2 linked regions of the Oryzias latipes genome follow. The protein of the gene in region 1 interacts with the protein of each later gene in a pairwise test. Links are inferred from orthologs where the notes say so. Each region holds a gene or a part of one and is shown in the gene's direction. Other genes may lie near its edges.

Region 1 (3,754 bases):
GCAGCAGCTGGTGCAGGCCTGTGCAGTGATGTCCTGTTCCCCGTCCATCTACGACTCCCCCCTCAGTACCGACTCCAGCTCCCCACTCTCCTTCAGCTCCTTCACTATGTCCAGGCCCCCGATCAGCTCCCCTTTCACGTAGAGCTGGGGATAGGTGGGCCAGTTGGAGTACGCCTTCAGGCCCTGACGGACCTCTTCGTCCGACAGGATGTCAAAGGTGTCAAAGTCCACCCCCGTGGAGTTCAGGACCTCCAGGATCTGCCTGCTGAAGCCACAGCGCGCCGCCTCCTTGTTGCCCTTCATGAACAGCATGACGGGGCTCTGGTTGATGATGGCCTTCAGGCGGTGCTCCAGGGTCACGGCCTTTGGGCAGGTGGTCTCCAGCTCCCCGGACTCGGCCAGCTCCTTCACGATGTCCAGCCCCCCCAGCAGCTCTCCGTTCACGTACAGCTGGGGGTAGGTGGGCCAGTTGGAGTACGCCTTCAGGCCCTGACGGACCTCTTCGTCTGACAGGATGTCAAAGGTGCTGAACTGGACGCTGTGCTCCTTGAGCAGCGCCACCATCTGGCGGCTGAAGCCGCAGCGGGGCTCCTGCGGGGAGCCCTTCATGAACAGCACGCAGGGCGCCGCGTTGATCAGCTTCTTCAGCCGCTGGTTCAAGTCCGCGGCGCCGCCGTCCGCGGCTCCTCCTGGGGCGGGCCCGCTACCCGCCAGGCCCTGGACCTTCTTAGTCAGCTCCGCAGCGTGCGCCCCGTCCAGACGATCCACCTTCTCACCCCCCTTGAAGAAGATAAAAGTGGGGACGGAGGATATGTCATACTTTTCCGACACATCGGGAACAGCCTCCGCCTCCAGCTTCACAAACGTCGCGTGCGCGTGTGCCTTGGCCAGCTCGGCCATCACTTCGTTCATGTCGCCGCACTGAGGAGCCCATGCCGCCTGGAAATGTACAACCGCGAGGTTTTTTCCAGCTTTTGCAAGGAAATCCTCGAACTGTTGTCGGCTCGTCGCCTCTAGCACATTCGCCATCTTTGCTTCTTTGACCTCGACAGCAGTCCGGCGGCTTTCTGACGTCACATCCGTTCAGCCCTAAAAGCTGTTAGCTGTAGCATAGCCGCGACGCACCGGAGAAGTGCTCGGCTTTCTGAATATAAGAGCCTCCTGTGGACTCTGGATACGTTAAAAAACATTGTATGATTTAAAAGGTAAGCGTTTGACGGTGTGACGCATAAAAAACGGAATGTTCTGCGCTTAAGCATTAGTAGCGACACGACAGATCAGTTAGCATCTTTAGCTAATCTGTTTGGCTAATTAGCCAGTCGGCGTTTATTTGGTTCCTAAAAAAAGTAATCCTGCTGAAGAGCAAGTGGCGATATGTTACTTTCTATCTTTTGTTATACTGTCTGTCCTAAATCTTAGTTTAATATTACATCGCTCCTGTCCTTGTTTAGCGAATACAGCCGGGCTAACTGTTTTTGGCTAACGCTAGTACAGGGAGTCCGTCTTTGGGAAAAAAACAAAGCATTAAATCAAATTTAACCCACTGAGTCTAACATAAAGATATAGATGCTATTTTACGTTAATTGTATGTTTATTAAAATTCTTGTTTAGGAAATAGCTCAGTTAATAATGTATTTTAAATTAGAGCTAAATAATTCAGCTGATTGTAGTTATCCGGATTCCTTAGTTAGAGATTTTATTTTCTAGACTAAAGGCTGGTTAATAAATTCACTTCAACGTTGCCTGTTTGTTAAAAAGAAGAGGTGATCTAGATGATTGCTGAAAAATTGGAAACTACGCTCACTGTTCTTCATAAACTTATAAACATGCCGTGGACGCACCATGCTTGTTGAACAGATTGTTAAATAACCTGGTGCTTATCAAAATTTTTGTAAAAGTGTACAAACACTTTAAAAAGTCACATAAACAGAATAATTTGTAATTGAAGATGTAATACAATTGCAGGAACGCTATGGATGAACAAACCTCAGACATAGAAGTGACGGTCAAAACTCTGGACTCTCAGAGCAGAACCTACTCAGTCGGTGCTCAGGTAAATGGAAAGTTCCTGCTGTAAATATTTGGGTAGTTTCCTTTTGTCTTTTATGATCTGACTGAAATGATCCATTGTTTTGCAGCTGACAGTTAAAGAGTTCAAAGAGCACATTTCTCCTTCAGTGGGCATCCCTGTGGACAAACAGAGGCTCATCTACCAGGGCAGAGTACTGCAGGATGAAAGGACGCTGGCAGACTACAGTTAGTCAAAGGATATATTAAATCTTCCTCCTCTTAACCTTTCAGCTTGTTGCTTCAGGGAGTCTCTCCATCTGAACATCCCTTCTGCCTCCTTTCAATCACACCACCAAGGAGCATTTCAAAACTATTTCTTTTAAGTAAAAATTCTGTCATTGAATTAGTTTTTGGTTCCATCTGCTCTTTCTGCTGATTTGCCACTGCTTCTGTTTTAGCTGACCATATTCTCCGCTACTCTTGTAGATGTGGCTGGAAAGGTGATTCACCTTGTGGAGCGGGCCCCCCCTCCACCCTCCCAGCCTGGCTCGGGGTCAGGGGCCACCGCAGCCGACAGCGGGCAGTCTTCATCCTCCCAGGGAGCATCGCAGGTGCCTCCACACGATCGCAATGCCAACAGCTATGTCATGCTTGGAACCTTCAACCTCCCCGTCAATATCATGGACCCCCAGCAGATACAGGTAGGTCTGCATTGTTGGTGTGCGTTGTCAGGGATGAAGGCAGCACTGCTCAACAGATGACGAGATTCCAGTTGCTCAGGGCAACTAAACTCTGTGTTTCGGCATGAAGATCTGAGTTCAGTCAAGTTGAAACATTACTTTTCTAAACGGCTGCCTTCAATCTGCCATGAGGCTGTCTGCTTTTGTTAACAACCTTTGATCACAAACCTGCAGGAAATTTTTCTTAAAAGGACCAAGTCTTCTGGATCAAAATGACATGAAAGTCAGATGGGTTCGTTCAAAGTGAAAATAAAACCACAGGGATTGATTTCAGATTTTAAAACCATCTAGATGTAGTCGGTTTATCACGCAGAGCACAAGTGAATTGTTCTGTGTGATCTCTGCATTGTTTTCATCTCAGCATTTTCCACTATGTCCGATCATATTGTGTGGAGATGTTAAAGGGAAAATGGACAAAGATGGACTTTAGAGACTCCGGCATATGAACTCTGTTCATGTCATCTTGATGGGTTTGCTAAATTATCCTAAAAACAAATACATTTAAAGCTGCAACGACTGTTGAATGACCATTGCCACCCTGCACCATGGGCCCATCAACAGCCCCCCAGGTCTGTCTGCTGCCCCCAGCAGCTTCTCCTCGGCCTGTGCTGCAACAGAACAGGATTAAGGCGTGATGCTCATCCTCTAACTCTGCAGCCCCATCTGAAAATGGTGCCACAGTAAAACCCCACCCGCTCCTCTACATTCCATGGTCCATGACATCAGTGAAGATGGAGCATAAAGAAATTTAATGATTTTTACTGGATGGCTCTTTCTTAGGGGATATATATATATAAAAAAAAGGTTTTACTGGCCCAATTTTACTTAGTTTTTTTTGTTGGAAGAGAACAAATCGTTTACTTTTTATGACAAATTTTTGAATCAGTTTTGCGGATTTTCATGCATATTAGGGGTCTAATTAGGTCTCAAAGAGGGAGAAAGTAAAATAATAAATAATAACAATTGCAATTATGACTCTTAGTCCACTTTGTGATTGCTTGAAG
Region 2 (3,654 bases), on another chromosome or scaffold:
AGCCTCGAGTCTCTAGATACAGATGTGGTGAGAAAATGAACACAAGCATGACAGTAATGTTGATGCCTCCCATGTGGTACATCAAAAGTTATTATTTTAGCCACAATATTGACAAAAACACATCAGAGTTTTAGCAATTTATTTAGACCTTTCTGTGAAATTCTACTTTCTCCTCAAACCAGTCAAACGGATGGGATCCCAATGATATGTTCAAGTACAACGAGGAGAAGTATGGAGTCTTGTCCACGTATGACAGCAGCCTGTCCACATATACGTAAGCTCTGACCTGCTTCTTCATCTACATATTGCTAACACAAGGCGGGGAACACTGGAAACGCATGCTAGATAAGCCTGGCTGTCAACATTGTGCACCGTTCTCGACCAATTCGATCTTGTTTCCCAGACTCCCCTTGGAGCGTGACAACTCTGAAGAGTTCCTGAAGAGAGAAGCTCGTGCTGCTCAGCTGGCAGAGGAGATTGAGGCCAGCGCCTCGTACAAGGCCCGCGTGGCGTTGGAGAACGATGAACGCACTGAGGAGGAAAAGTACACTGCTGTGGTGCGAGGGGACAGGGAGACTCACACACTTGGCAGGTGAGAGCAAGACGCACGCCACAAACCATCATCATGTACAGATCTCTGCGTTGAGGTTTAGTAGGGGGTTAATAGCATGTTGGGATTTTATTATGTTAATCTTCTTCAGTAGTTCTATACTTCAAGTTCCATTGAAATTCAACAGTAGATTAAAAAAAAAGTACAATAGTTTTTAGTTCTTTTTATCTTTTTTTTACCCTTGCAGGAACAGTTTCTCAAAGTGAACTATGTGAGGTTGTGCAACTAGACCTGCCTGTTATCTAAATCTACACGCACTTCCATAAAGCTGTGTAGGCCCTGAATACATTGTTAGGAGGAAAAGTTCCTAAAAATTAAACTACACTGAACTGAACCAAGTCGTAATGAATCTGTTCCTTCACAGACAGGACTTCCAGCAGCTGCTTGTTGAACCACAAGTAATTAAAAAAATATGTGTGTGTGTATATATATCTATGGAGTTTCGTGTGCTTCTAGTTCAAAATAAAGTAAATACAGTTTTCTTTTTTCCTGAATATAAAAATAGCTGACCTGTTTTATAGTTTTGGTTTAGTTTTGGTTTAGTTTTCATATTTTTTGGGTTGTAATTAATACTTATATTTGTTTTCTGTTGTTTGTGCTAAAATGTAAAACAATTTAAAACACACTTTAAAATTTTAAATCAGTTTTTGTCAAAGTTATCTTTAAGATAGTTCACAACGCTGTAATTTTAAAACGGCTCTCTGTGTGCAGCTGAGAGGGTACTGCAGATCAACGCTTCTCCTGTTTATCTGAAACCTCTTGTTTTGTCTTTTTGTATCTAAATGCAGAGAGAACAAGTACGTTCCACCAGGTCAGAGGAACAGGGAGCCATTGTCATGGAGCACAGGGCGACAGAACTCTCCTCGTCTGGGTCAAGGTTCTGTTGGACCTTCAGCTCCTCGGCCGGGACCCCACGACTACAGTCCCAACTCTGGGACAGACCAGAGAGTGGTCAACGGAGGTATGTTTATTGCAGAACTTGCAGTTCAGGGGTTACTTTTTACACTATTAAAAAAAAAAACCTCTTAGTTGATGCTAAAAATGTTTTCTATGGAGTGACGTAAATGTGGCCACCTCTTATTTATTACATTGTCATTTTTCTATCCTTTTTTGTGTAGCCTTTGAAGAATAACAGTTATTATTTCAGATCTTTAATGTTTTAAGAAAAAACATTTCATGTTATTCTGCTTTAGTTGTGCCAACCCTCCCTTTTTCTATTACTGCTATACCTTTTTTGTTTCTTTCTCCGCCTCCACTTTTGCTAGTTCGTCATCCTTGATCATTTGTCCTTGCCTCTTTTAGGTTCATCCCATTGGCCCTCACCCTGTCCGTCTCCTTCCTCTCGTCCCCCCTCTCGTTACCAGTCTGGCCCCTCCTCTCTGCCTCCTCGGGCGACCACGCCCACAAGACCACCCTCCAGACCCCCCTCTCGACCTTCCAGGCCTTCCTCTCATTCGTCCCATCCCTCCTATTCTTCCTCTTCATCCTCCTTTTCTCACCATGGGCCCACGTCGCCAGCCTCCACTCTGCCCAAACGCATGTCTTCAGAAGGTATCCACATGATTGTGGAGCAGACCTGGGCAAAGACTCCATGAAAGTTGAGGGATTGAAGTTGTCACGCTCTAAAAAAACAACAGAACGGTTACAAAAAGGAATAAATACAGTGGAAAAACTACTTTCATAAACACATTTGCCCAGGTCTAATGTCAAACAGAAGTGGTGAAATTGCTTTCTCAGACTGATTTGGGGTCAGATTTTTGACAGATTAACCCAAAAAAAAGTGTTTACCTGTGTTTGCTTTACGCCCTACCGAATGAATCCAATTGGAAGTGCTTAAGGCTGACCCTTTGTCAGTCATACAGGCAGTTTCATCTTGGCATGTGGGTGCATCAAGGTGTTGTGCTGTTTCTGTGCTTTCTGCCTAACAAAGGTGCAAAATGCAAAGTCACCAGTTTCTCACCTTGTTTGCAGCAAAGCAGGGCTCACTTATCAGACTTTTAATCGATAAAACCCACTACTGTACAGCCTCGTGAGGTTGTCAGTGAGATATTTAACACTAAAATGATACTTTCAGAAGTTTGAAAGTCCATTATTAGTAGTTTTTGTTTACTTTGTTTCTGCATTTGCAGGTCACTGGATTGAAAATGTCTATGAAGATGGAAATTTAATAAGCTTTGGCATTACATTTTTATATTTAAAAAATATTTTTTCCATTCCCCCCCCCCCCCCCCCCCCCCCCCCCCCAAAAATGTCTCTACAAGACCATCACTAGCTACTCATTTGCACTCCTGGCGTACATTGGAAATGTGTCTGACTGTCAGACTAGTCAAAGTCAACATGTTCTTCTCAGACCTCAATATAGTTTTGGTTTGATCCAAATTTAACACTCTGTCGCACTTTTAAACTTTTCTTACCATCTTGGATCCAGTTTTTGAAAGATGTTCATAACCTTGAGAAGGAACCTCAATTGTCATTTATTTTACTAATAAATGGCCGATTTTCTATGTTTTCTTGAAAGCTGTGGAATAAGTCAGCAGGATACAGGCAGTAACTCACCATGGAAACCGAAGTAAACTGGGAAATATTTCAGTCCTTACATTGGTTCCACAGATGTAATCTGGTAACAGGACAGTGTTTGGACCAAATGACCTTGAGCAGCTGCATCTCATAATCACTGTTTAGAAATGGTGGGATGAATAATTTAGAGCTTGATGCTTCTAACTTCATAAATAATACATACAAATTTAAAAGAATACACAAAAGGCAATGGAGAACATGCACTCGATACAACAATGTATAACAGTTTAGACTTTCGTTTATTTGATACTGAATCCTGTGAGCTAAATAAAAAGATTTAAGTATAAAATTTGCCCCATTCTTAAAGCATTACTGTCTTTTTCTTTTTTTAGTCCAATATTTTGTCTCACTTTTTTTCCCCATTTTCTGTGTCTGTCCTCCTTTGATTTGAAGTGTCTTTTGGTTTTTCAATTATCACAAGATCAGTTTCTGTTTATTAACATCCATTTCACCACTTTAAAAGTGAC

Evidence for each region.
Region 2: the proteins of bag6 (region 1) and atxn2 interact in binary tests that used the Homo sapiens proteins (3 or more experiments, as listed by UniProt). The link is inferred for Oryzias latipes from reciprocal best matches to the Homo sapiens genes BAG6 and ATXN2.

The regions. Positions count from the first base shown.
Region 1 is NC_019874.2:28,120,250-28,124,003, forward strand, and holds the start of bag6 (large proline-rich protein BAG6), read left to right. Parts: upstream 1-1,080; 5' UTR 1,081-1,205; intron 1,206-1,963; exon of another isoform or gene 1,964-1,965; 5' UTR 1,966-1,972; coding exon 1,973-2,053; intron 2,054-2,138; coding exon 2,139-2,256; intron 2,257-2,496; coding exon 2,497-2,711; intron 2,712-3,754. Other genes in the region: glrx3 (glutaredoxin-3), read right to left, coding at 49-1,029. UniProt on the Homo sapiens protein: ATP-independent molecular chaperone preventing the aggregation of misfolded and hydrophobic patches-containing proteins.
Region 2 is NC_019867.2:7,490,955-7,494,608, reverse strand, and holds part of atxn2 (ataxin-2), read left to right. Parts: coding exon 1-27; intron 28-182; coding exon 183-274; intron 275-403; coding exon 404-592; intron 593-1,398; coding exon 1,399-1,571; intron 1,572-1,912; coding exon 1,913-2,161; intron 2,162-3,654. UniProt on the Homo sapiens protein: Involved in EGFR trafficking, acting as negative regulator of endocytic EGFR internalization at the plasma membrane.